Linked DNA regions of Rattus norvegicus. The protein of the gene in region 2 purifies or fractionates together with the protein of the main gene of each other region. This does not show direct contact. Links are inferred from orthologs where the notes say so. Each region holds a gene or a part of one and is shown on either strand. Other genes may lie near its edges. The genes, in order: Cpsf3, Fip1l1, Cpsf2, Cstf2t and P4ha2.

The links.
Region 1: the proteins of Fip1l1 (region 2) and Cpsf3 purify together in Homo sapiens (affinity purification with mass spectrometry; 5 studies listed by BioGRID and IntAct, with this or other methods). This does not show direct contact. The link is inferred for Rattus norvegicus from reciprocal best matches to the Homo sapiens genes FIP1L1 and CPSF3.
Region 3: the proteins of Fip1l1 (region 2) and Cpsf2 purify together in Homo sapiens (affinity purification with mass spectrometry; 7 studies listed by BioGRID and IntAct, with this or other methods). This does not show direct contact. The link is inferred for Rattus norvegicus from reciprocal best matches to the Homo sapiens genes FIP1L1 and CPSF2.
Region 4: the proteins of Fip1l1 (region 2) and Cstf2t purify together in Homo sapiens (co-immunoprecipitation; 3 studies listed by BioGRID and IntAct, with this or other methods). This does not show direct contact. The link is inferred for Rattus norvegicus from reciprocal best matches to the Homo sapiens genes FIP1L1 and CSTF2T.
Region 5: the proteins of Fip1l1 (region 2) and P4ha2 purify together in Homo sapiens (co-immunoprecipitation; 3 studies listed by BioGRID and IntAct, with this or other methods). This does not show direct contact. The link is inferred for Rattus norvegicus from reciprocal best matches to the Homo sapiens genes FIP1L1 and P4HA2.

What each region holds. Positions count from the first base shown.
Region 1 is NC_086024.1:46,588,219-46,593,812, reverse strand, and holds the end of Cpsf3 (cleavage and polyadenylation specificity factor subunit 3), read right to left. Parts: intron 3,873-5,594; coding exon of another isoform or gene 3,817-3,872; exon of another isoform or gene 3,676-3,816; intron 3,658-3,675; coding exon 3,588-3,657; intron 2,202-3,587; coding exon 2,105-2,201; intron 1,223-2,104; coding exon 1,118-1,222; 3' UTR 1,040-1,117; downstream 1-1,039. UniProt on the Homo sapiens protein: Component of the cleavage and polyadenylation specificity factor (CPSF) complex that plays a key role in pre-mRNA 3'-end formation, recognizing the AAUAAA signal sequence and interacting with poly(A) polymerase and other factors to bring about cleavage and poly(A) addition.
Region 2 is NC_086032.1:34,025,841-34,031,658, forward strand, and holds the start of Fip1l1 (pre-mRNA 3'-end-processing factor FIP1), read right to left. Parts: upstream 3,914-5,818; 5' UTR 3,787-3,913; coding exon 3,705-3,786; intron 2,658-3,704; coding exon 2,613-2,657; intron 2,525-2,612; coding exon 2,485-2,524; intron 1-2,484.
Region 3 is NC_086024.1:126,912,610-126,918,389, reverse strand, and holds the end of Cpsf2 (cleavage and polyadenylation specificity factor subunit 2), read right to left. Parts: coding exon 5,538-5,780; intron 4,535-5,537; coding exon 4,400-4,534; intron 4,048-4,399; coding exon 3,955-4,047; 3' UTR 1,591-3,954; downstream 1-1,590. UniProt on the Homo sapiens protein: Component of the cleavage and polyadenylation specificity factor (CPSF) complex that play a key role in pre-mRNA 3'-end formation, recognizing the AAUAAA signal sequence and interacting with poly(A) polymerase and other factors to bring about cleavage and poly(A) addition.
Region 4 is NC_086019.1:238,364,096-238,369,939, reverse strand, and holds Cstf2t (cleavage stimulation factor subunit 2 tau variant), read right to left. Parts: upstream 3,899-5,844; 5' UTR 3,830-3,898; coding exon 1,940-3,829; 3' UTR 332-1,939; downstream 1-331. UniProt on the Homo sapiens protein: May play a significant role in AAUAAA-independent mRNA polyadenylation in germ cells. Directly involved in the binding to pre-mRNAs.
Region 5 is NC_086028.1:38,756,965-38,762,066, reverse strand, and holds part of P4ha2 (prolyl 4-hydroxylase subunit alpha-2 isoform 2 precursor), read right to left. Parts: intron 2,209-5,102; coding exon 1,969-2,208; intron 586-1,968; coding exon 392-585; intron 1-391. UniProt on the Homo sapiens protein: Catalyzes the post-translational formation of 4-hydroxyproline in -Xaa-Pro-Gly- sequences in collagens and other proteins.

The DNA.
Region 1 (5,594 bases), on a different chromosome or scaffold from region 2:
AGCCTTGTGCCCCAGCATTAAATTGAAATACTTAGCTTACGTAATAATTTAGGGTTGGGGATTTAGCTCAGTGGTAGGGCGCTTGCCTAGCAAGCGCAAGGCCCTGGGTTCGGTCCCCAGCTCCGAAAAAAAAAAAAAAAAAACCGTAATAATTTTTTGCATGTCATGGGGGCCTTGGGCTTTTGGTATAGGCCAAAGACATGGGAATTTGGCTGTTTTTATAGAAATTTCATTTAAGGAAGAGTCAGACTTAACACTGTTAGCAAAGCACCGGAGAGTGTTTACACACCTAAGAGGGGAGGTAGACAAGACAGGCTACATGGGTGAGGCTCTTTGGTTTGATAGTGTGCTCTGAAGGTGAGGCAATTCCTACAAGGGACTGAAGTGCATATTTTACCTACCTATAGCAGACCTGACCTCAGGGTTCTCCCAGCATCCCTCAGTCCCAGGGGCTAGGCTGCCCTTCCTCCAGAGGCTCTTTGGTAGTACACCAGACACCCCTCCCTCCTCCCCATGCTCTCTTTCCCTTCCTTTCTCCTCATGGCAACGTCCCTATTCTTGATCTTTGGGACCAATGCATTTATATATACCTGAACTGGCTTGAACTGGCTAATTTCACCATCAGAGAAATAACATCACTGAAATCTAATCCCTTTTCCCTTCAATTGGGTTACTTTCAAGCCTGAATTTTATGTACTTTCGAAAATCAGACTAATGAACTAATCCACACAATATATCTGAGACATAAAATGTGTCAGATCCCGTACAAAGAGATGAGTCCTAAAAGTGGTGGCTTTATAGACACAAACCAAGGAATTGGGTAAGGGGTGGAGAACAGGTTTCAAAGCTAAGGCACGTTTGCATTCAACTGAAAATAGATTTGCCAGTACAGACCATTCAGCACACACTGCATAAATGCCCGAAGCCAAACCAATGATCAATAAGTAGCTCCTTTGATGATTGGTTCGAGAATAGTGGGCAAATTAGTTGGTGGTCTAGCAGTAGTCGCCATCAGATGCAAAAGTAACAGGCCACCCCAGAGAAACTAAGGTATTTTATTTGAAGGAACCCAAGTGAATGCCAAGTGTAAAAGGTGGAGTGCTGGGAGGCAAGGCTGTCAGTGCACTGGCGGCGTCAGAGCCTCGTACAGTCTCTGGGCGGCCAGTTCCACCATTTCTCGGAGGGACTCATCATCCTCACTTCCTTCTTCACATTCTACAGCCTGAAAGGGAAAGCACTGACGTCAGCCTACAATTATCCCCTGGACGAAAATGAACACTCTAAGCCCTGGAGGCTGATCGCCAGGATGTGAGCCACTGACCTACCCTCCTGTCACCCGCACTATCTCTGTCAACATAGTGACTGGAGAGCCAAGGGGGGGGGGGGCACGCACAGAGCTTTGGACCAAAGCCCTATTCTATTCAGCCTTCGAGGCAAGTTAGCCTGTGTGGCATGGATTACTTAGCCAGCAATGATGTGCTGAATTGTTCACCATTTGGTGCTAATTTGACTGTAACCATGCAACAGCCACTGCTTTGTTGCTGCTACTGTTTTTTAAAGACTCTGTTAGTCTCACTATACAGACTAACTTCAGTCTTGTTCTAACTCAGGCTGACCTGGAGCTGGGGATCTTCTGCCTCAGCTCCCTGAGCTGTGGCTGACACACATGCATTACACCACCCACCCAGCTTAAGGGAGCTCACGTCTTATAGCTCAACTACAAAACACAGTTCCAGGCCAGCTTGGGCTACAGAGTTCTAGGTTAGCCTAGGCTATGGTGTTATTTTTTTAAAGCTGGTCTAGTGGTGACTGCCTGATACCCCAGCACGTAAGGCTAAGGCCAGCCTGGACTATATATAAGAACCTATCTTATAAAACAAAACAGAAGAAAAGCCCAGGGACCAGGGTGTTGGGAATACAGGCATGAACTTCCACACTGCCCACCTCGGTTTCCAGGGACCAAGGCTTCTTTCCGCTACGGAGGCACCTACCCTCCGAGCTATACCTCAGCCACCAAGCTGCAGCACCTAACTGCCAGCTGCAGCCTGATTCCTGTCTTCACCCCAGGCCCCAGGTGTCTTGAGACACACGGACAGCTACATACCCGAGTCTCCAAATTAATATTTGCTGTTTTTCCATCCACCGTGACACTGAGGACAGAGTCATCTTTCACACTGACACAGTCTTCTCCAAATATGTCCCTGTAAGTGAACAGAAACTTGGCATTACTGGGAAAGTCCAACTTCACCTGTTAGGGAGAAGGTGCAAGTCCTCCTCTAACTCCTCCGTGTTCGGATGCTCTGGCTGCCCAGGAGATGTGCTGCTCCTTTGACTATAGATTTACTAAAACAGCCTGCCCAGGATGGTGCTCCACTGTGCCTTAGCAAGCTCTGGTTTTGCTCTTGTTTTTAATTTAATACTGAGGATTAAGACTGAGGCCTTGCGCACACTAGGCAGAGACATGGCACACCATGCACTCTATCCTGAGATGGAGTCTCACTAAGGTGCCTAGAATGGCTGCTGACTTGTACGCAGCTCTAACATACTTGACTGTGGCCTTCCAGTTTGGAACTAACTTGGGCAATATGGTGAAGTTGTCTCTAAAACATGAAACAAAACAACAACAAAACAATAAAAAGCCATTATTAAAATTTCAGTATGAAATTTTAGAAAAATGTAAGCAACTCAAAAACCTTCCAAATACTAAGATGTCTAATTAGGTCAATTTCAATCCGAAGGCAGAAGCAGTCTTTGTCAGGGTTTGAACTTGCAGCATCTCCCACAGGCTCAATGTTATGTGCTTGGCGACCGGCTGATAGGCTCTGACCTAATCCACTGATGCCTACTCTGACAGACTCAGAACCCGGGCACTGCCACAAGTGCACTGAGAAGCAGGCTGTAGGCCTAGGTGAAGAAGCTGGTCACTGGGAGCATGACTGATGGGTACAGCCTGTGACTCTTCAGGGTACAGCCTGTGACTCTGAAGCACAGAACATACAGGTGAACTTCATCTACTACACTGTCCCACTACCATGATGCTATTCTCCACATGAGGCCAAAGCCAAGGCTACCTAGCTATGGCAGAGCCCTCTGAAACTATAAGGCAAAATGTATCTTTCTTCCCCCTGTCTGTTGCAGGCAATTGCCTAAAATGAAAAACTAAGTTATTCATTCATTCAACACCGTTAGATGATGAAGTTGTAAGTTAGCTATCTACTATTAAGAGACTTTTCTAAGACTGTTTGGAAGAGCATCCTAAATGAAGCTTAAAGAACTTCTATAGAAAGACACCAGTGTCAGAAACTCAGGAGTCTAGTACACCTGCTTTACCAAGTAATTCACACATGAGCAAACATTTAAAATAATTCTTAAAGGCACGGCGACACTGGGCTGAGACTCTGGCATCCAGTGGACTACTCTGTTAGCTTCCTAAACATCCCCCAAGGCCGGTTAGGCAGGGCACAGACCAGGCAGGGCACTGGCACTCAGCGCTAATACAGTGTGAACCTGGACATGACTGGGTACGTGGGCAGCATGGGGACTCCACCCACATAGCTGCACAGCTGCCCGCCCGGCCCCTCACTTACTGGAGCATGACCTCAAGCCTCTTGCTGTAAACGTGCATCTCTAGCTTCTTAGAGACCTTCTGCACTGCACCTGGAAGACAGACACATCAGCCTCCATATTCCCACTTACGGTCAGCACACCGGTCCCAGCACAGTTCCGGAGGCCTGAAGTAGCCGTGGAGACTTCATAGTAAAAGCCTGTGATATGTCTCTTTGCCCACTAAGGCACATTCATGTGCACTGTGTTATTTCATGTCCTTTGACCTCTCAGTTCACTTTTGCTTCCATATTTCTCAAACTTCCACTCTGAAGAGAGGTAAGCAACATTATAGGTTCAACAATTTCAGAGCATACATTTAAGCCCAAAGATTTCTTTTTTTTTTAAAGATTTATTCATTTATTATATATAAGTACACTGTAGCTGTCTTCCTGCACACCAGAAGAGGGCATCGGATCTCCTTACAGATGGTTGTGAGCCACCGTGTCGTTGCTGGGAACTGAACTCAGGACCTCTGGAAGAGCAGTCGGTGCTCTTAACCTCTGAGCCATCTCTCCAGCCCCCAAAGATTTCTTTTGTATCTGAATGTTATGTTCGTTTTAACATACATCATCTGCTTGTGAATGTTTTAATAAAGTCTTCAGGCTGGAGAGAGAGCTCAGGAGCTAAGAGCACTGTCTTGCTTTTGCGGAGTTAGGTTCTCAGCACCCGCATGGGGCTGCTCACAACGGCCTGCAGCTCCAGGGAGTCTAACCACTGTGGGCTCTACAGTGGCCCTGCACTCACATGCATAAATACACAGAACTAAAAATATATACACATAAGGGTGTCTCCCTATTAATAATTAGTTTTTTTTTAACCCCAAGAAATACACAACTTGGTGGTCAAAAGATATGCTGCCTTGAAGCCAGAGTTAGGTCACCCTGGCACACCCACATATACCTCCCTGGCTAATACCTGCTACATAAGAAAGCACCATTCATGGCCTCTGCTTCCCTGGAGGGTGGACAGTTAACATCTAGCCCTGCCCTCCTCAGGACCTGTGAAGTGTGCATACATGTGCACAAACTCCTTTTTTCCCCTGAGGCGATGTCTTACTGTCGAGACCCAGGCTGGGTTCACATTTGTCTTTCCTCTGCATCTCAAGTGTGGAGATGACAGGAATGTGCCACCACACCCGGCTTCTTTTTATTGCTTTTGGCTTTTGATTCTATGAGACAGGGTCTCTTGTATAGTCCAGGCTGGCTCCAAACTTGCTATGTAGCTGAGGCTGGCCTTGAACTCATCCTCCTTCCCCTTTCTGTCAAATGTACACCACCATGCCTGGCTGAAACCTTTCTCAGTCTGGGCTGGGTTCCGGGACTGGGATCACATCAGGCGACCGCTCACTCTCAGCACTGAGCTACATCAGCCACACGGAGCACAGAGAGCAGCAGCAGCACTGCTCACAGGGCTGAAGGCCAGGATGAGCAGAACCAGCAAAGACTTACGCCGCCGTTCCTTACAAGCCAAATGCTCACCAGAGGCTCAAGTGACGATTCCCACACACCAGGCCTGTGTATTCAGTAGCAGAGGATTTGGATGTGCCTGTCTGTTTACTCATGTGCCAGAGGAGCCAATGCAGGAAGGCTTAGGAAGCGACCAGCTCCACTTTCTTGCCCACTGTATGCCCCTGAGGCGGGAACAAACCTATACTGAACGGGCTCTGACATCACGTGAAGGGTCCATCTAGGGCGACATCTCCAAGAACACCAGGGTGGCTCCTTGCCGGTGGCACTCTGGAGATGTACACTGTAGTACACTGCAGCCACAGGACAAGCTGCCAACCATGGCATGGGTACTCTCTGTTGGGGCCCCTATTCTATTCAGCACCTTCCTTTGAACATGAGGACAGCAATCTTCCTGACAGAGGCCAGCTCGGCTGAGCAATATTTTCGTATCCGAGCAGACAGTGTTTAAGAATATTTTAGTATCCGTGCAGACAGTGTTTAAGGAGAACTGTACCATTTATGGGACCGTGTCCAGATTCC
Region 2 (5,818 bases):
TAGTTCCTCATCACCATTAAAATACAAGAACAATAAATTGTTAAGCTTTTTCTAAAAAAGTAAAAATATAAGCGCAAATGCTTGATGGGATGAGACACACACAGAACTTCAAAAGAAATAAACAACAGACATAGGCAGCAGTACTTGGAGAAGGCAGAGATGGGTTAAGGGTTAACTCCAATCAACTACTACTGTGTCCCAGAGAACTCAAGAAAGAGCAATGAGAAAGGGAACTGTGAGGAAGGAGAGCTGGCTCAGCGGCTCAGAGCTCCTGTTGCTCTTCCAGATTGTGGGTTTGAGTCCCAGCACCCACATGGGGAGCTCACAACAATCGATCCTGAACCACAGTCCCAGGGGATCCCATGCCTTCTTCTGTGCTCCACAGGCATGAACATGGTGCATGGACATATACAGTTAAAAACAAAACAAACAACAAAACCACAAAGTAAAGTTAGAATTATAGTTAAATAATAAAATTTAGTACTAGGGATCAGCTCACAAAAATCTCAGCTCTTTGGAGGCTATTTCTCCTTTTACTCCCTTCCATGTATCCTTTGTTCTAGGGTTTAATTCCTTTTTTAAAATTTTTGACACAAAAGAAGTTACTTGTAATGGATTTTCACCACCAGTGTTCATTTTAGAAACTCCATTAAGACATAATTTGCCCATACATTTAAAGACTATACTTAAAGGGATATACTTTGCTCACAGTGTAATAATTATGCTATGACATCCTAGACTATGTACATAGCCTCCCAAAAGAAGTATATATCACCAGTCATCCCCGTTTTCTCCTATCTCACATACTGATCTTTCCTTCTCTATGGATTTGCTTATCCTGGAAACTTTATGAATCAAACTGTGTCCTTTGTAGCTGCTTCTTTGCTTTAACACACGCTCAGGTGTTCACTCATACCATAGCAAGTCGGTACTCAATTTTCTTCCTTCCAGGAGACACTTCCTTAAAGGTGCATTACATTGAACCTATTATTTTGTTTTGGTAGACAGGCAGGTCATTTCCATTTTATGGACTAGCTATGACTGATGCTAAGAACAGTAATGTTCAAATACTTGTGTTCATGTGAGCTTCCACTTCTCTGATTTAAAGTGAGTAGGACTGCTTAATTAATTATTAACTGTTTAAACATTTGAGGAAGCTCCCAAGAGGAGACACCGCTTTACAATAGCAGCAGCAGTGTACAAACAGTCCAGGTTCTCCATATCTTCATTATAGCTCTTTTGCCTTTTGGTTTATAGCTATCATGCTTGGTATGAAGCATTAACCCCTCCACTTTGAAAATCTTAATATTCTTTAAATGTTTTGTATATATAATACATGTGGAAGCCAGAGACATCAGGTATCTTCCCAATCCCTCTTCTTCTTTCTTTTCTGAGACAGTCTCGGATTGAACCTGGAGTTTAACAGTATAGAGGAACTAGTGAGTACTAGAGATCATCCTGTCTAATCTCTCCTAGGATGTAGTCATTCATGTCCACATGCTTATGCCACATGCATGTCCCCAACTGAGCCATTTCTCCAGCCCTTAATTGCTCTAAGACCACTCCTCCCTCATTATTTCAGACAGTCACCTGATCAAACGCAAGCCAATTTAGCCATGTGCTTATATGCATTAGTTGTGGAATTTTGAGTGAATGTTTGGCTCCCTGGACACTGTAAAAATACTGTTTTGCATAATAACAACCAACTTAAAAAAATCTATTCTGTTCATGGTATAGTAGTAAGCATAGTTTCCTTCCAAAAAACTAGTTCCATTATGAATTTAAAATACAAAGCACTAAAGCCACGCCAAGCATAGGCACTGTGGCACATGCCTTTAATCTCAGCACTCTAGAGACAGACAGATGTCTTTGAGTTCAAGGCCAGCCTAGTCTACAAAGGGAATTCCAGGCCTGTCACTAAGAGCCTGTTTCTAAGAAAAGAAAAAAAAAAACTATACCAAAAGTAAAGGATACTATAAAAACACTAATAAATTATGAAAGCAACAACTTTCAGTTATTTTATTTCTTACAGAAAATTATTTTTTTTCTTAGTAATTTAACAACCATATTCAGCCAGGCGTAGTTGCTCTGCCTTTAATCCCAGCACTTGGGAGGCAGAGGCAGGTGGATCTCTGAGTTCAAGGCCAGCCTGGTCTACAAAGTGAGTTCCAGAACAGCCAGGGGTAGACACACTACACTGAGAACTTTGTCTTGAAAAACAAAACAAAAACCCAACTCCACTGTATATACTGCTAAGCCCAGTTAAGGGTGAAAGTTACTCAAGGGGGAGAGGTTGGCAAATAAATACCTAACTCCAAGAACCGTCCTATAAGCTGCTAGAAAGCAAGACAGAATTGATCCTGAAATAGGAAAGGTCCTTTAACCTTTGGTCAAAATGCAATCCCACCAAGGATTATAATAAAACTACTGACGGCATCCTAGAATCACCATCTGTGTAGGGCATCAACAGGAGAGTTCACCAACCTGGCATTTTCTTCTTCTGGCCTTTCAACTTCATTTTCATCTACCAAATAAAATAAAATAAAGTAAATGAGGAAACCAAGCTTAAGCAACAAGTAGAAAAATCTGAAGGGAAGAGCATGAGCACTAACCTAGATCCTTTGCCAAATCACTGTGCACATGCACGTCCCACGGGCCTGCGAGCATAGCCAAAGTTAGATCACTTTATAAACAAGACACATCTCTTATGGAAAAAAAAAAAAAACACGACTTTACTGCTATTAATGTAAACTTAATTTAAGAGGCGATGAGGATTTACACATCATCGTAAAAGAAACCTCACACTTTCACGTTTTAAGGGTAGTACCAATGCTGTCTTTCCATTATTAAAGACATAATCGACTTTACAATTTGATCGGAGTTACATCACTAAAAGGCTGCTTAGACTCCAACGTTCACTTTTATGTAATCTATGACAATTTATGTCAAGAATGTATGTTCTGGGAAATAACAAAATACTTTCAAATCTGGTGTAACAAAGAGCCAAGGCGGATTACGACTTAAACATCAAACATGTCCTCTACAAAAACAAAGTACATGATGCATTCAATTTGGGGACACAAATACAAAACACTGAATACAAGCCTACGGGAAGAGTCACGAGGTACAACTATGACGTGGACTATAGAGCAGTCTCTAAAAAAATAAATAAATAAAAACTTCACCTTAATACAGGAGACAACTCAGGGTTGACCATAGTGTATTCTCCACCTCTGTCTCTCTTAATTAATATTTTTAAAGCACGACTTTCAGACAAGGAGGTACCCTTGCAGGTGCATTCCATACAAACTGACCATCAAGAAACAAGACATTAGTTTAATAGCATTGACTTTATTTAGCTGTTATTACAGAATGACTGTTTCTGAAAGAAAGGGACGAGGAGGAGCACCCAATAGCAAGAGACACCGAAGCAGCTCAGGATCGATAGAAAGAGCATGAATAGAGAGCGCAGAAGCGAGGAGGCCGGGACGGTGGGGAGGAGGGCGAAGCAGGGCTGCCCGGCCTCCTTGGCCCGCGTCCACCGCGCGGTGAGTGCCTGCGGGTCCGGGCGAGGGCCCGGAGCAGGCCGCACTCGGCCTAACGCAGGCCTGCCAGGGCTAGTACGAGAGGCCTCGGACGCCCGGGCCTGAAACGCCGGGAGGAAGGCCAGAGAGAACCCGGGAGACAGACAGGAAGTTCCGTACCGCCATACAGCCACTCTTCCTCCTCATCCCCTCCGGTCCCGCCGCTCAGCTCCACCAGACGCTCCACCTCGCCGGCCGACATGGCCGCCCCTCGAACAAGTTAAAGGCGACGATCAACAGCCCCTTTCAACCCCTTCCCCAGCCTCGCCGTCTCAGGGCGCGAGAAGGGGAGGGAACCCGCTGGTAAGCGAACGAAGAGAGCGCGAGACTCAAATCCAGGGTCGACCTCGGCGGAGGCGGCGACCGTGAATATTCAGCAACTGGTCCGCCTGCGCATGCGCAGCAGTATCCAAGCGGCGCGGCGTCTCTAGGTGGATTCGCTTCCGCGGCGGCAAGCACCTGGGCCTCTCGCTGCGCAGGCGCCGCGCACTGGCTCCTCCCCCTCCCACCCCACCCCTAGGATTCCAGCTTTGCTTCTCGCAGTAGCTTTCTCTCTGCCTTCTGGTGTTCTTTGAAGTTCCCTTCCCCCAACCTTCCTTCCAATCCCAAGTTCCCTTTGCTACACCATTGTTCTTTTCTGTCCTTGCTTTTCTCCCTCCACTATTTGTTCGTTTTAAAATCCGGAAGGCCATCATCCCGCACGTGTTTGCTTGACCCACAATCATACTTGTCAATTCGTCCGAATTTTAACAACCAACAAAAGAAAAAATTAATATATACAGGATGCATTCTCTTTGTTTAAAAAATTATTAGTGTCCGGCATAGTGGAGTATGCCTTTAATTCCAGCACTTGGTAGGCAGAGACAGGTTACCTGGACTACTTAGTGAGTTTCAGGCTACATTGGGAGACTCTGTGGCCTGAAAGTTTTATTTATGTTAATGTAACTCAAACTGGTCATCTGAGTGGAGGGAACCTCAGTTGAAAAAATGCCTCCATAATATCAAGCTGTAGACAAACTTGCAGGGCGTTTTCTTAATTAGTGATTGATGGGGGAGAGCCGACCTTCTGACTAGATCGTGTGGGTTTTAATTCTTAGTTTTGCGCTCACTCTTGTTTGCTATGCCCTGTTCCCCTGTAGGAAATTCTCGTATTGTTTCAACTTTTAAGTACAATCTCCTCTGTAAAATCCTCCCTGTATTCAACCAACGCGTATGAAAGTCTGCCCAGTGTCAGAAACTCTTCAAGACTATATAGGTTGGGCAGTAAAAAAAAAAAAAAAAAAAAAAAAAAAAAAAATCTTTCTTTCACGAAGATTTTATTCTAATGGAAGAGCGACACATAGAATGCAGACCATCTTATTGATAATGATTTAAAAATAATAGTAGCTGAAAAAGACCTGAAGCCAAGTGATTAAAGGGGAGGAGGTGTTATATCAGGTGGTTAAAAAAAAATAGATCCCTACATGGAGAAGTTTCTGGATTGGGGCACTTGGCAAGGAGATTAGGAACAGGCAAAGAAGCAGAGACCTAGGAGTTCCAGGCACCAAACTGTATTTGGAATAGAGCAAGAGGCAGAATGTAGGTCAGCAGGATTGGGGGGTGGGGGAGGGGACTAGAGTAGAGCTAACTCTCTTTTAGACCACATGCTGCTGTGTTATTTGACTACGTAGCTTGTTCGTCTTTCCTTCCATCTGTTGTATGGTGCACCATATCTTTTTGGCCCTTGATACAAGAAACAGAAAGAAGGTTTACTGTGTGCTTGAGAGTACCGCAGGCAGGCACTCTCCGTGGTTAGCTCCATTTTACAGTTTCGTGCATCTAAAATAAAATTGGATGGTTTCAGGAGAGGGTTGATTGTCTTTCGCAGAGTGGATTGCTTTTCCTTCCAGTGTGGAAAAGAGTTCGTCTGTCAAAGCACTGTTTAGACTAATACAAAGAATCAGTGACCGGCGGGGAATGCGCGGTAGGAGGCCTGCGTGGTGGAGGTAGTACTTGAGCTGAGCTTTGAACATGATTTCCATAAGCAGAGAAGCTCATAAACCACTAATAACCATCCTTAAAGGGCCCCTTCCTGCCTGCCTGCCTTCCTCCTACACCAAATTCCTGGTATAAATATGCTTCCTTGGTTACGATTAATCTCTCCATTTGCGATGGGAAACATTGCCATTGGGTAATTTGACGATTTTATACACCATCTCCTGCCTCTTATCTTATGAACTCATCTCACTACAATA
Region 3 (5,780 bases), on a different chromosome or scaffold from region 2:
CGTGTAACACTGGCGTGAAGACACAGAGATCAGTGAGAGAGAAGTAGGTGAGCAGACATAACGTCCGGATTTGGTCAGCTGACTTTCAAAATGGCAAAACAATGATAGAGAATTCAACAAATGATGCCAGGACGACTGGACATCTACATGCAGAAAAATGAAATTAGGTGCTTATCACAGAAAAGGAATTAATTCAATGTGGGTTAAAAAAATGATAGAAAGAAACCCGAGAGAGCTAAAATCTATTAGGAAAAAAGCAGTCTATCTTTGCAATTTGGATGAGGCTTTCTAAGAATGGTTGTTAAGGGCAAGATGGCTTAGCAGGTTAAGTGCTTGCCACCAAGCCTGACAACTTTAGTTTGATCCCTGGATCCCACATGGTGAAAGAAGAGAGCCGATCCCTGCAAATTGTCCTCTGACCTCCACATGCACCCTACGGCAATCCTACACCTACCCCTCCCCCCCAAATACATTAAAACACTCAGAAAAAAGAAAATGCTTTCTAAGAATGACACCAAGAACACAAGCGACTGAAGAGAGAGACGGGATGGACCTTGCGATTATAAACTTTGTTTCCCATCAAGTGACCAACAAAGTGAACACAAGCCATGGGAGTATTTACCATGCACATACAGAAATATCTAGAGACCATACCAAGCTTAACAACGAAAAAGATAAAACAGCAAACGGACAAAGGAGTTGAGGAGATGTTGCTCCAAAGACATATAAAACATCCAATAAGCACAAGAGACACGTTATGCTCAGCATCTTTTATTTATTAGGGAAATGTAGTCAGAGCCTCCAGGCAGTGCCTCCTCATTGGCTGAGTGTGGTGAGAACAGAAGACAGAATCAACAACCCGTGCAGCAACAAATGGAATCCTTACACATATGCTGGTCGGAACACGGAAACAGTGTAGCTGCTTCACAATACACAATTCCTTAGGTGGTTAAGCGAAGTTACCACATGGACCAACAATCCTGTTCTTGAGCATACACACAAGAAAATACACAAATGTTTATTTATTCTTTTTCTTTTTAAAAAAGTCTTGTACGAGAATGTTCAAAGCAACATTCTTTATAGCAGCCAAGACCACTGGGAACCACTCAATGTACATTGGCTGAAGAACAGTCGTGACATCCAAAGGAGTGTCAAAGGACTATAAAATGGACACTGAAGTGTACAGCCATGATCCCAGCACACCGGAGGCAGGAGGATTATGAGTCTGAACCAGCTTGAGCTATACAAGGCAAGACCACATCCCAAAGCAGACAAAAATTATGCTAACACATTACTACATTAACGAATCCTGAAAACAACCGTTCATTGAAATGAAAGAGGACACACAAGGCCACGTGTTACATGATTCTTTATGAAATGTCCAGGAGAGACAGAAAGACTGACGATTAACTAGAGAGAAGAGAAAATGGGGGTACAAACAGTTACTGGGTTTCTTTTAGGAATGAGAAAAAACAAATTGGAATTACATAGAAATGGTTGTAGATTTGACCAAAACCAGTGACTTGCATATTTAAAAAGAGTAAATATTTTATGGTATGTAAACTGCACACAGACACACAAAAAAGGTGAACAAACTAATTTCTTCTCTATTGTCTCAGGTCACCTACTGAGTCACAAAAATATAGAAATAAGTGCAAAGACGCCTGACAAGTATAACCACACTGCAACAAGTTCAGTAAAAGCAGGCCCTCGGCCTCCAGACCTGGGTCAAATCCAGGGCCTCACACGTGCCAGTAGGAAGGACTCTTCCACTGAGCTATAGCCCCAACGCCTTTCTCCCTCTTTTGGGCAGGGTCGTATGTGGTCCAGACTGGCCTTAAGCCAAGTTTGAATGAAGTAGGTGAAATTCCAGGTTATGTGTCACTGCGACCAGATACAATTTCTTTTTAAGAAAACTATCTGCAGATATCAGCTCATGTCTCACATGCTGTGTGGTTTTTTTTTATTCTTGCATCTGAGACCCTCTCTGCTCTCGTGACTTATCCCACTGTTGTCTTTGAAAGTCATGTTTTTCTCAAGTAGCTGGGGCAATAATGAAGGCCTCCCTTTCAGGGGGTTTAGGATGATGTCATCTAGACACAGGCAGCAGTGCTGCTCTCCGGTGGCATTGCTGTATGACAGCCATTCTTCAAGGGGTACTTTAACATCTAATTCCTGCTCGTAGGTCGGCAGGAAGGTTAGGCAAGAAATAATTTTAGATATAGGTATTACCACATAATAGGTATATCCAGAGCTTTATAGCATGTAACTGCAGGGTTTCTTCCCCTGGAATAGAAATTGAATTCTAGGCTTCCTCTATATAGCAAGAGGAGCAAGTGGAATGGTTCATGACTGCTAAAAGGAAAATACGTTCTTTTACACTCATCTCTGCAATGCTATTTTGTACATCTGGTTTTCAGGATCCAAAGGCTACAAACTTTGCTTCAGTGCTGCAATCCACAGCTGAAGGTTCTCTCAGCTCATGAAACCGCATAAAAGACTAATTCTAGACCGATAGCGGATCACTGGGCTGAAATATACAGTTCCAAAGTTAAGCAAGAGTGAGGCTTCTCCGGATGCTAAGTGCAGAGAAAGGGGCTTCCATGCTTAAGAAGGCATCAAGGACAGCCTTGCTTAAGCTACCTTCTAAAAAATTAAACCAACAAGATACAATAGGACAACATGGTTCACAGCTCAAGTCAACAGAATTACATATTTTCAGTTTTTACTCTCGAACAGAGTTTGTGCTGTATCAAGAGTGGCAGTTACCCGGGTTCAGTACTGTTTTTGTAGTAACAAGCATAAAATCCAACCGCTGTTTACATAAACTTAGAAAACACGCTGGGAAAGGAAAACATTTACACCCTTTAATTAAATCACACTGTTACCTTATAAAAATGTGAGGCTCCACATTTGCTTTTTAAAAAAAAAAAACAAAACAAAAAACAACAGAGCATTGGATGGTTTCAAATACAGTTACTGGACCAATAGTTAAGATGAGTCTAAATGAAATATATGCAGAACTGGTAACACACCAGGCTTTCCTTTTGCTGGCTGAGACAGGCTCGCACCATGCGGCTCAGGCTGGCCTCTAATTTCCAATCCTCCTATGCCAGCCTCCTGAGTTCCGGGATTAGAAGTGCACGTACCACACTCAGCTTAGAGGCTTTCTTTTAGATAACATTTATTCAAATGATGAGGTCATAAATTCAAATGGAATAACAACAAAATCTTAATAAACAAGGAATGGGAGAAATAAAAATTTGTTTCTAAACTAGCTGTGTACTGCCTCACACCGCACTGAAAGTAGAGGGCGGGGGCTCCGTGTGGAGCGGTTGCATATCAGAGGTCAAGAGGAGCAGCACCGCCACACCCATTCTCAATAAAAATGTTTCACAAAGCTTCTGTTATCTTTCATAGCATATTCTCTCTATACAATTTCTCCCTTCTCATTCCAGAAAACACAAAAAACTGCTTGAACAAATGCATGCACACCAGTTTCTGTAAGGCCATGAACTGGTTTGCTAAGTTGCACTGTTCCTTTTGTTTGTCTGTCTGTTTCTCCTTTTTCTTCTTCTTCAAGTAATGAGCCCTTGGAACAAGGATCTGCAGAGGAAACCAATCCCCTCCAGCCCTGGGCCTGTCTCTTCCTTGGGCCTCTAGCATTCAGAGCTAGGCAAGAGCATTTACAAAATGGGTTCTATTTACATTTTCTTTCTTTCTTTATTCAGTACAGAGAATCAAACCTAGGGCCTTGCACATGCTAGACAAGAGCTCTACCACTGAGCTACACCCCAGGCCCTTGATTCATATTTTTCAAAATCTAACACATGCTCACGTTTTCTGGCACATTCTTTTTGTATGTTACAAAACAAGACAGCAAAAGTTTAGCCTCAGATGAGAATCCTTTCTTCCTGAGAAAGGTCAAGCAGACACATCTTGACATGACGTCCTTTACACAATGGCATACTGTTCATATAAAAGGTCTCGTATCCTATAAAAGTCTTGACAAAGGCAGCCTTCTAGCCCGATGCGTCCAGTTTCTGTCTAGAAAAACAGTTTTAAAAGTTCTTTAGTACATCTCCCGTTCATCAACACGCAGAAACAATAAGCAACATTTACGTGGGCCATTTCATGACTGGTCAGGAAATGGGTTGCCCTGACTCCTGAATGTAGGTAAAAGGTTGTAGTAATGGGTTTTACAGACACGTAAATGTCAGAGGGTTCAAATATAAAAATTCACTATAAAACTATGCACCATTCATTAGAATCACTGCTATAAGCCTTTACAGCCATCATTGAGGATGGTTTTCAGTTTTATGAATTTATAAGACTACAGAATTATGATAAAGCTTCAGAAGCACTCGTTCAACCCAGCCCTTATTAAAAATAAACTTACTCTGCGGACTGCTACTTGATTGTTGCAGACAAGTACGCCCCCTACAAATTCCGCTTGAATCCCTTCCCGCAAAAGAACTTGCTTGAAGTCAGACAGTCTCGGTTCATTCATAAAAACTGACTGGTGTCCGGGAACCTTGAATAAGGTCAAAGGGCAAAGAGGGACTTCAATAGAACGGTAGACACAAAGCTGTACTGGATAAAGTAGAACACTGCACGATGTCTAAGATAGTTTTAGTAATTCCCTCAAGTCCTTTGACAGATCATTTCAAGACTGCAAATAACATTCTGAGTCTATTATTCTGGGTTCACTTTGTCACTCACCATTACAGAGCCCTTCACACCTTCTGATGTTTCACCATTTTATTACTCATGCCTCCTAATAACAGAGACTCAAGGTAATATTATGCTCTTCACTCACCCACTTGCTGGAGGGGTCAACTGAAGTATCAAGAGGCAGAATGGAACTGAACCTCATTTCCCAGGACCCAGTCCCCTGCTTAGTTCAGAGGCTAAGTCCCTAATCCCACTTCCACATTCCCTCCTACCCCAGAGTGAGCGTGATGGGTGCTCCGGGCTGAGAGTCAGAAAAGCGAGTGGTTTGCCTAGTGCTGCTGCTCTGACAGTGTTCTGAAGAGCACTGTCGCTGTAGCACAGGGAAAAGCCTCCTCACGTCTCCCCTGAATTTCAAGAGTCGTGCTAGCTCAGAGGCCAATAGAAGGGGCCATCTCCTTATCCCAACCCCTCGGCAGGCTAAAGGCGTCACTGGACACGTCTGTAGGACTCTTACGGTATTGATGCTGCTCTAGTGTCATTACCCAGAAGCCTTTCTAATTAACCAAGTCCCTCCTGAGAACATGTTACATGTTAAAGGTTTCCTTTAAATTATCATTCTCTAGCTACAGAGATCAAGATACACAGACATATATCCTGGGTATTCCTTTTTAAGAACTCCAAAACTGGCCCCCATACAATGTAGTTTAAATGGCTAAAACCACAACGGGGAGCTAGAAGAACAACCAATGGAGAGACAGTTAGACCGGGGATGTAGCTCAGCGGCAGAGCATGTGGTGAGCACGTGTGAGGCCCCATCAATCCAGCACCACTAAACAGACGCAGAGATGGCACAGGCTTCTCACCTCATGAGGTGGCAAAGGCTCCAGTGTGGGGATGACCTCACTCTCCTCACCCAGCTCTTTCTCATCATCTCCAAACAGACTTTTCATGGCCTTCTGCTGGGCTATGACACTGGAATCTGAAGGAGCATCCACTTGCATTTCAGAGTCTTCTCCATCATCCTTGAGTTCTCCTTCTTCTAAAATAACTCCCGTGTCCACTTTGGAGACTCTCATGTCTAAGACGCCGTCTATCCATGCTAACTC
Region 4 (5,844 bases), on a different chromosome or scaffold from region 2:
TAAGGTGTTTCCCACGCCGTTTCCTATTACAACTTGGGGCTCTGAGTAAACACAATCCCTCCAGTAAAGTGACCACAATCCTTTCTAGTACAATGCTGTCAATGCTTAAGAAACCTGAACACAGTATTCCAAAGGACACCCATGTCTGATGTGGGAGGTGTCACAACGGACTAGCAGTATCTTCCTCGTATTCCAACTGTTGAACTACATATACAATAATTAAAGGTATCCATCGGTTTCCTAGTTTCACTTTTTTCTACAGATGTATGCATGCATGTATCTCGTAAAAAGTTATTTCCCAATGTATTAAATAAAACGTACAAAATACCTTAATTATATAACCTTTTTATTTAATTTTCATGAAACAATGCAGAGATTTTCTTATAACAAAGACTGTAAGAAGTTTTGGGCTAGCAACTGCAGTCTCGAAAGAAGCAAGCAATTGGAATTAGTCAGAACTAGCACAAAGGTACAGACCACAAACCCACCTCAGCATAGGAGGCAGAGGAAACCACAGGAGTCTAACACTAGCACAAAAACTAAATGGCTGGAAAATAGCCTAGGAATGAAAACTCTGTACACTCAAAAATGCTCAAACTTTGCAAGGGAAAACAACCTTGGGTCAGCTCCCTCCCTAAGGCTGCTCATCCCTCTGTAGGTGGGTATTTATTTTTCCACAGAGGAATGCCACTTGGTCAAGTGGGAGCTTGTGCTTGTTTCTGCTCATTATCTAAATATGACACCGTGTCCAGGTGCCACATTGATTGAAAATGATACAGTAGCTCTAAAAGAAATGGATTAAGTTCCACATTCCTTATTCTCAAACACACTTCATGGGAACTACGTTATGACCAAAGAGCTTTTGTGAGTTGTGAGAAATAACATATTAAGTTAACTGAGCAGAGTTGTCAGTTCACTTGGGCCCCAGTTCTAGCAAGGTGATGATAGAAAAGTAGTTTGTGAAAGTTATCAAACTGTAAGACATATCAAAAGGCATAGAGTAAGATTTTAACTTCTGGTTCTTGCTGACCTAATGGATTCCATCTGTGAATGGATAGTAGGTTATCAAGAACTTGGGAGCTTTACTGAAAAACAAAAACAAAAAAACCCCAAAAACCTCCATTACTCAAGAAAGTCAAACCTCATGTCTGATTCTTTAAAAGGATGTGAAAAAACTACTTACAACCAGACTTGGGCCTTAAGAATTTTTTAGAGAAATGTATAAGAAGGAGGTTTTATGTAATTCAGCTGACACTACAACTATCCTGCAAAATTACCAGTTGGGATCAGGCAAGAATATTAATGGTCTCAAAAAAAAAAAAGTCAGATAAATGAAAATTATCTTTTTACAGATAACAATGCTTTAAAAAAACACACATCTACACCACAAACTGTTAGCTCCAATATTTCAAAATAATTCCAAAATAACTAAACATTAACCTTACTACAGTACTCTGCTGCCTCCAAAATATAGTAATTTCTTTTACCAAAAAGTGTACCTTAACATTCTGACATTCAGTTCAATATACAACCAAAGAACTTTAAACTATCTTAGTATATCAATACTGTAACAAGCCACTTTCAATTTTTATGTAGTTCCCAGTTTACTCAGTATTTTTAAAACACAGTTAACAAAAGTGCAAATTATTGCCGCATTTTCCTCATAACCTTATTTTGTATGATGTAGTCATTTTTAGGGTACCCAGTAGAGTCAACAGTGACAAAGTAAACAGGCCCCCCCCCTCCACCCCCTCCCCTCAATCAAAAAATAAAAAGGAAAACAGAAAGTAACAAAACTAGAAATAAGATTTAAGGTCTGGGGAGAAGGAAACCTTAAATGGTTAAAGTGTGCGAACACAGAAGACAGCTTTTTGCACCCACTTCATGCCACAGAGTAAACCCTGAAGGAATAACTAAGTACTTCTTAGCTGAAAACCTTTCAAGAAGCACCCGTAGATTTCTGGATTTGTTCCTTTAAAATCAAAATGCTCTGCCTTTGCTCAGGAGGCAGCATGGCAATCTGATCTGCAGTCAGCTGAAGAACCTGCATGATCAAAGCTGCTTTTTCTTGATCTTGAGGAGTTACCTGGCTTTGCCCCGGGCTAAAACTACTAGGCTGGCCCGCACCTTGCTTACTGGCTCCTTGCATGCCAGCCCCCTGCATCCCTCCTCCCTGCATGCCTGCCCCCTGCATCCCTCCTCCCTGCATGCCTGCCCCCTGCATCCCTCCTCCCTGCATACCTGCCCCCTGCATTCCTGCTCCTTGTATACCTGCCCCCTGCATGGCACCTCCAGGATTTCCCACTCCTGCAATGTTTGGAACCTGTCGAGGTCCCTGAGGGCCACCTGCCCCCATATTAATGGGGCCAGGACCCTGGATCCCACCAGTCATCGGACCTCGGGAACTAGGGCCAGGGCCCCTCATCTCCAGTCCTCTTGCGTCTATGCCTCTTGCTTCCATCCCTCTGGTTTCCATTGCACAGGTCTCCATTCTTCTCTCCATTCCTCGTGGCTCCAAGACCTCCGTTTCCATGGGCCGGGCCTCCATCCCTCGAGAGTCTCTTCCTCCTCTACCATCCATAGGTAGACCTCTTTGATCCATCATGGGACCTCTGGGTTCTCCAATCAGCATTCTGGGATCTGCTGCCAACGGTCCTCCTCTCATATCATGTGAGGCAGGGCCACGGTTGTCATGACCATGATGCATTGGAGGACCCTGATGGGGTGGTCCCATATAGCCTCTGGGCTCTACTTCTCCAGTCACTGAGAGCAAAGTTCCTCCACGCGGGTCATTTGGAGCATCTCCCAGTAGTCCTCGAGGAGGGATGCCACCAGAAGGCATGGGTCCACGAGGCATTGGAGGTCTAGGATCTGATATCTGCATCTGTCCTCGCTCTAAGGGCACTGGACCAACCACTGGCATGCCAACCTGTGGCTGCATGGTTCCTCCCGGGGTTAAGGAACCAGGTCCAGGTCCAGGAACTGCAGCTGGTATTGGCCCCGGAGCTGGAATTCCGCCCTGGATCGAGGTCTGCATCAGAGGAGGAATGTCCTTCACAGGTCTTCTTGGTAAATGCTGAGGCTGAGGGGCAGGATTCTGTTGGTTCAACATGACGTTAGGTCCTGGGCAGAGGCCAGGGGCAGGGCCGGGGCCAGGGCCGCCAGGGCCACCAGGGCCACCAGGCCCACCAGGGCCAGGCCCAGAGACAGGCTGTGATTTGCCTGGGATCAGTGGTGTGACATGGATCTTACGATGCAAAATTTTCAGTGCAATCTCTGGATCCATGATTCTCATCACCACTTGTGCCTGCAGCAGAGCGTACGCCAATTGTGGGTTCTGAAGTAGCATGTTTCGAGCTTCCTGGTGACTGTTTTGGACACACAACTTCATTTGCTTCATCAGCTCAAACATTTGCTCTGGGGGCAGGCTGGCGACTGCCCTAGTAATCGATTCTGGAGCATCTTCTGGATCAATAGGGTCCCCATAGGGTGAGTCAATGATGGGGGCTGCCGGGCCTAAGCTTTTTAACTCCTCCTTGTTCTTTTCACTGGCAGCATTGTCCACCCGAAGCGCTCTCCCACTAAATTCTCGCCCATTGAGGTTCCGCATGGCACTAAGCGCAGTCTCCTGGTCTTGGTACTCGCAGAAGCCATAACCCTTGGGCTTTCCTGTCTCTCTATCGTAGACGAGACGGAAACTGACAACTGAACCAACCTCCGAGAAAATGTCCTTTAACTGCTCCTCCGTCGCCTCATACGGAATGTTCCCCACGAACACCGAACGCAGTGATCGATCCATGGCTGGGTCTCTGACCGCCAAACTCGACATGATTCCTGCCGAGCGTTTAGCGGAGAGTAAATTCGTCCAAGGGTCGTCCTCTGGTGAACCACACTTCCGCTCTGTAACGGAAGCAGACACCAAACTCCGGACCGAAATCTTTCTGCTAGAAATCCATAGTTCCGCTAGGCCGCAGAAACTGCTTCCTGAGACCGGACTAATTTATCTTGCACCTTCCGCCCCCGGCCGTGCGCTCTGCTTTACGCGCCTAGTTACTGACAGTGGGATTCCTTTCCATGATCCTATTGGTCGAGTTTCCCCCGCGTTCCGCCCCCCTCTCTCCCTTCCTGCGGTCGCCGGATACATTAGAACTGACCTCATTAAAAATGGCCGATCGGACTTCACTATGGTTACGGGCAGCATCAGCGTCTCGGCTCATTGGGGGCGGTTTTCATTGCGTTTCACCTGCGGGAAACCGCCAACCGGAAGCTGATTTAAGGCTTAATGTTTTAATTACTGATACGTGTGTTTACACAGCTGATTTCGTTTAGCATAGAATATTTGAAATATTTTAAATCTTATTCAAGATTTTGAGGTAAAATGTTGATATTTGTCCCTTAAACTATCTTAAAAACATTAAAAAATAATTCTCGCAAAGATAAATTAACGCTTTGGCATGTTCAAACTGTTACTAGGTCCAGGATCCTCCCGGTGTCTTCTGTGTGTGCAGGCTGTGATCATTCCTCCCTCCTCTTACGAATTTTAAGCGACATAAATGCTAAAGTGGAATTAACTAAAAAGTATGACTGCAGAGTATGGATGAATCGATTTCATTTAACTTTTATCGTACACATATAGGTAGTTGGGATTGGATTGATTGATTGACAAGGTCTCTATGTAATCCTGACTGTCCTGGAGCTTGGGCTGGCCTCCAACTCTCAGAGATCCTCTGCTTATGCCTTCCAAGTACTGGGACTCAATACCACACCCAGCTAAACTGTATATCATATCATATATAATGTACATATATTTTATATATATAATGTGTGTGTGTGTGTGTGTGTGTGTGTGTGTGTGTGTGTGTAAATAAGACGGGGGGGGGGGGGACGGGGTTCCCAGTATAGTACTGTAAGACTGAATTCAAAGGCAGCCTGTCCTACATATTGAGTTCCAAGCCAACCAGAGCTACATAAAATGAGAACTTTTAAAACAAATACATTTTATTTAGATGTGTGTGTGTGTGTGTGTGTGTGTGTGTGTGTGTGTGTGTGTGTGTGACTTTTATAGTTGTGGACTATATAGATCAAAAGGGCTACTCGCAGGAGTTGGTTCTCTCCTTCTACCCTGGGATCAAACTTGATACACAGGGGCAGTGCTTTACCCACTGAGCAGTCTTCCTACTCTGCGTCTTCGAAGTTGAATTTTAATGTTTCTTATTTTTAAAATTAATTCCAGCACAATTAAACCAATGTAGACATTGGGCGCAGGGTACTGTCCTATGACAAAATGTCATTGATTCTGAATAAACACAAGCATTATCAATTAAAGTTTAGCATTGTAACCAATGTTCTCTGTATAAATAAAATGCATTCAGAATTTTGAAGACTAAGCACTAGAAATGTATAAAACAAAATTCTTGCCAGTTTTATACTTTGAATACTGCCTTTTTTATGACCAATACATAATTTTCATAGCTCTAACTTGGAAAAAATCCAAAAACATCATAGCTTATATTTTGGTTTGTTCTTGGTTTTTTAGAGTACACTGTCACTGTCTTCAGACACACCAGAGAGACATTACAGATGGTTGTGAGCTACCATGTGGATTTGAACTCCAGACCTCTGGAAAAGCAGTCAGTGCTCTTAACCACGGAGCCATGTCTCCAGCCCCTTGGCTTTGTTTTTGTTTTTTGAGACAGGGTTTGTCTATGTAGCCCTGGAACTTAGTCTGTAGACCAGGCTGGCTTCGAACTCAGAGATCCACCTGCCTCTGCCTCCCAACTGCTGGGCTTAAGAGAATAGGGCTATGGCTTATGTTTTGAAGAAATCTGTATATGGTACATTTTT
Region 5 (5,102 bases), on a different chromosome or scaffold from region 2:
GGACCCATGGCTCGCAAAAGCCAGGGACACAGATACCAAACCCCAGCAAGTATTGCCTTTGTTCATCACTGAGTCTTACATGTCATTTACACCACGGCTACCCTTGGGACCTGAGATACATCCACACCCATCATTTTCTTCAAACCAATGAGTCAGATGATAGTAGGCACACTGGGGTGAGTGGGGCATAAATACTGCCCTGGGAGGGCGGTAATTCTCCCTTTAACACCCAAGGAGGCAACCCCCTGCCCTGTGCATCAGCAAATGCCCACCTTCCAGCCTCAGCTGACGTTGAGAAAAATGCAAACAGGCAGTGAAACCTGCCACGTTGCCTGCCCAGAGCCAGCGCTCAGAACCCCAGCCTGACTACCAGCCCCATCCCAGGTCTCACCATTTTGATGCCCTCCCCTCGACACAGGCTCTCATACACGTCCCTCTCGGGCAGGTAGTCTACAGGCCTCTCGTACAAGTTTTCCTGCGATGCTAGTCCAGCGTCCGTCTGATTCGACAATGATTTTCCTCTTTCTTCCTCTAACAGCCGCTCAAAGTACCGCAGGTTCCCTCCGGCTCGTTCATGGCTCGGGTCTAGAAAAAGGGAAAGAAAACCACAGACTTCTGTGAGGTCATCCACGGAGACTGCCCTGCGAGCCATTTCTTTCCCATTGGTATGCTACGCTCTGCTGGCTGCAGCACCTAACCTGGGCTCGTCACTCCAGCGACAGGGGAAGCACATTTAGCTAGTAACTGGGGGGAGGGGAAACCTTCTCAAGCCTCCTGGAGGCCCCTCGTGTTCTGAGTTCTGCCTCCTCCCTGTCATTAGCTGTAGCTATTTAAACCCATTCCCCAGAGTGTAGCCAGGTCTAGCAAGCTGAGATACTGGTGAAAGAGAAGGGCTGCAAGGCAGGCCAGAGGGCTCGGCAGGTAAAAGTGCTTGCTGCCAAGCATGACAACCTGAGTTCAGTTCCCAGGACCCATGCGGTGTGAAAAGAAAGGACCAAGTTGACAAGAGATGAGAGAGTTCTTCTCTGACCACAGGTACACTGTGGCACTTGTACACTGACACCCCCTCCCCGCCACCACACGCACACAATTAATTAATTAAATACCACGACTCTTTATTTAAAAATAGAAGAGTCCCAGCTCTGGTGGGCATCACAGTATCCGAAGCAACCACCACAGCAGGATTTCTACGTCACTCTCCAGGACAGCAAGACTGAGTGAGTCCCAGAGATGTTCAGTGACTTCTCCACACAGGAGGAGAACCAGGATGTCCTGAGCCCTGTCCAAGCCTCTTACTAACTCACCTGATGGGATCTATAAAACCCTCTACCCTTGTTGGTCTTGAGGGATGCTCAAATGGGAGCTGACCTCACACTTGAGCCCCCAGAAAGCAGTGGCAAAGCCAAAAGCCAAGTCCTCGCTGCTCTGTGAAACTCCAGGCAACCACATTTCCATGTATTAGTAAGAGGCGCAACTCGGGGCGCTTCAGAGACTCGGAGCTTTGGGTCTTGTTCTGTCCCACATCACAAGACATACAGAAGACAAATGGCATGGTAAGTCCCACTTTAGACCTCAGCTGGAACTGCTGTCACTGCGGCAATCCGGAAGTAGGGGACAGCTTACTTCTCAAGCTATAGTTAACATGGTGAGGGGTCCACCCTGCATAGTGGTACAAGCACCACAACACTAGGTCCTTATTTTTAAAAGTGCCATGGCACACACACATGTGCACACGCACTCGCACACGCATGCCCATGAACGTACCACACACATGAGCAACACGCACATGCACACAAGGATGCTAGGGGCATCCTAATATGAGGAGTCTGTACAAGAAGCTACTCAGTGATTGAAATCATGGAAGACACACGTCACCCTCCAGGTAACAAACGGACTGATTTAGTTCCAAGAGACGATCAGGTGGGAAAGTCAAGTTCCCTTGCTACCCCAACTCCCTAACCCCCTTACCAAGAGAGAGCAGGCGACGGGTGAGTTCCACCGCACGGTGCAGGTCACCCAGCTGGAAGACGGCATAGCTCAGGTAGTCCAGCACCAGGGATTTGGTAACAGTGGCCTCCTCCCCAGCATCCAGCTGCTTCAGCACCTGCTCCATCCACAACACGGTGTGGTAATAGTCTCCTTCGTTGTAAGCTGAGCGGCCCATCCCAAAGCAGTCATCCACACTCAGCATGGCCTGGTACTTTGTTCCTGAAGCAGGAAAAACAACCATCGGATTCCGAAAGGATGCTGGCTTAAGAAGGGAGATGCTCACTTTAGAAAAGGCCTGGATCATTGAAAGGGGCACATGACCCAAGCCAGAATACCACCTGGACTTCACGCCATGCACCATGAAATGTCATCATACGCACATAAACAGGTTAGCTTAGCTCAAGTTAGAGTTCATAGGCTAAGGCTCAGACTCCTCCTCTCAAGTGGGAAGGGGCTTTGTGAGAGGGGGTTCAGAAATCCCACCCAGACGCCGCCCTGAGGTCAGCGGCATAGTCTGGAGGGCAGATGGCCGCCGTGTAACTCTGAAAGCAGGAAGCGTGGCTGAATTCAGGCGGCATGAAAGCTCTACGTGAGGGCCATGACATGCAGGAAGAGTCTGAAGGAGGAACGAACAGAGAAGGTTCAAGGCTGGACCTCAGGGAACATAGATGGAGTGGCATGAACAGTGACTAAGAGGAACAGGTGACAGACACCAATGGGGACAAAGAACAAAGGCTGCAGTCCGGTAGGGATGTTAGAGCAACGGCTCAGTGAGCCTCATGCCTAATGGGACATCTGCTGGGGAAAGTGACCACAAAGACAGTTCCGACCTGAGAAACAGTATTAGCTCTAGGGAAGACGCAGAGCTTACGAGAGGCTTGGGAGGGCAAAGACTGTGTGTTCCTCAGAGAATAACCAGAGGGCAGGTCCCACAGAACAAGGAGGGTTAGGACCTCCCTGCAGACCACAGGAATCTCCCTATTAAGTGCTATTGGTCGTGGCTGGAAAGCTCGACCTGCTGGCACATCACTCTCTTTGCCTAAAGTCCATAATGGGCATCTTCCCAGAAGGAAACCCTACTGCAGTGACCAGACTCTGTTCATCCTGGTGGCTCAGGATCTGGGGTAGGTTTCTCAAGGAACATGGGATAGGGATGTCAAGAGAGCAAACACAAGGTGTAGTCATCAGCAGGCCAAGGATGAGGGGACTTACGGGGCCCCTTTCCTCTCTCCACAAGTCTCCCTGAATCTCCCCTCTTTGGGCCCAGGAACCTATTGTGGGCAGGATGTGTAACATACATAAATAAGTTGTGGTCTGGACCCAGATGGGGCCTGGATGTGCAGACCTTACTGAATACCTACCATTTGTGTGACTCTGGGCAATTTACCCAGCCTCAGACTCAGTCCCCTTTCTAATCAGATATCTATCTACATAGAGACGCCAGCATCAGTTTTAAAGGACTGGAGCCAAAAGTTCAATGGGATGACCTATGACGACATTGCCTCAGGATGTTAAAGACCAGCAGCCATAAGCAACATGTCTTGTGAATGCCAGGAATGTGAAGAATGACTTCCAGAACTCAGCATCCTCTCTACAAGCAAACTCAAGTGTCTGCTCCCTGAACTCCCTGTGGAGTCCTCCACAGCTAAGCTGTGTGCTGAAGGGTTATCTGACAGGGAGGAGCCCAGAAGGGGTAAGAGTACTGGAGCAGAGGGATGAGGATGCTGAGAACAGCAGGCAAGGAAGCCAAGGAGGCAGTGGGACCTCAAAGACCACCTAGAGGGAGACTCTGGGGTCACTGTGAAAGCTGAGCATTGACCTCAAGTGGATAACACAGAAAATTATCCCACATAAGCTGGAGATATGAAAAGGGTCAGAGGGCATTAAAGAGACAGAATCCATAGACTACGGTTATGGCTTAGGCTTCCAATGGGCAGAGGTGATTTTTGCACCTAAGCTAATAGATAAAGACTAAGGGTAATCAGTTCAAAACCAGATGGGAATTTCGATTTGGAACAGATGAAACTATATATGAAACTTGTGGAAACTATAGAATGTCCAAGTTGAGATGTCTACAGGCATTGGCCTATCCTGGCCGGAAGCCCAGGAGGCAGGCCTTGACAAGGAACACAGATCTGCAACACATCAAGGGATGGCAACCAGGAGCCTCCGTGGGGAAGGACTCAGAGTGAATAGCGGGTGAAGTTCTGGACAGTAACTCCCTTTGCCCTCTGACCCCTTCAGGGCACCCAGGGGCCTGTTCACTGTGGAAGGATGCTGTCAGGATACAGCTCCCTTCTACCGCCAACCATGCCTCCGAGCTACAAGTCAAAAAGCCTCCCAGAATTACCTCCTCTTTCTGGCCTCATAGTTGGGCTTGGCCCGACACCTGACTGAAGCAGGAAAAAAGAGAGCAGTCCTCCCTATCAGCTCAGAAGAGTCCTCCATACCAAGAGCCTGGGCCTTGACTAACCAGTAACAGGACATCGAAGAAGGAAGGCAGCTCCTACCACCCGTGGGTTCTCTGCTATATCTCCCCTAGGCTCCCAAGGAGTAAGGTAGTGTTTAAATCAAGAATGAGGTCCAGCTGGATCCTTGGGAATATTGGTCTCAAATAACCCCCTAAGGCCAGCAAATCTTATAACCACTAGCAGTGGGCATTAAGCAAGAAAAATTTAAAAAGCCAATTTAAAGAACAAACAAAAGCCGAGGGATGAATTATCAGATGAGTCAAAAGAGAAAAATCTGAGATCAGCACCCAGAATCTAGAACATCAGAGAGAAAGAAGTGAACGGCGCCAGATGCTACCGTGAGGTTGAAGTTATACCTGTAATCCACCAGCTGGCTTTACTGGCCCAGTGTTCCTGGTGAGTTTGAAGAACAGGATCTCAGACAGAAGGCATAAAGGCTCTGTCGGCTCAGGAGCATGTGGGAACCAGGGAAAATAAATCACTACCCAGCACCCTCATCAGGAGAGGAGAATGGGCCCAAAAGAACATTGGGTCTAGGGTAGAAATCCAAGAGATGGGCAAACACAGAGACTTCATAAAAAGTCAGATGACAGAGAACAGGGAAAGGGGGATAAACAAGAAATGAGCGGCCAAGGGGGACTG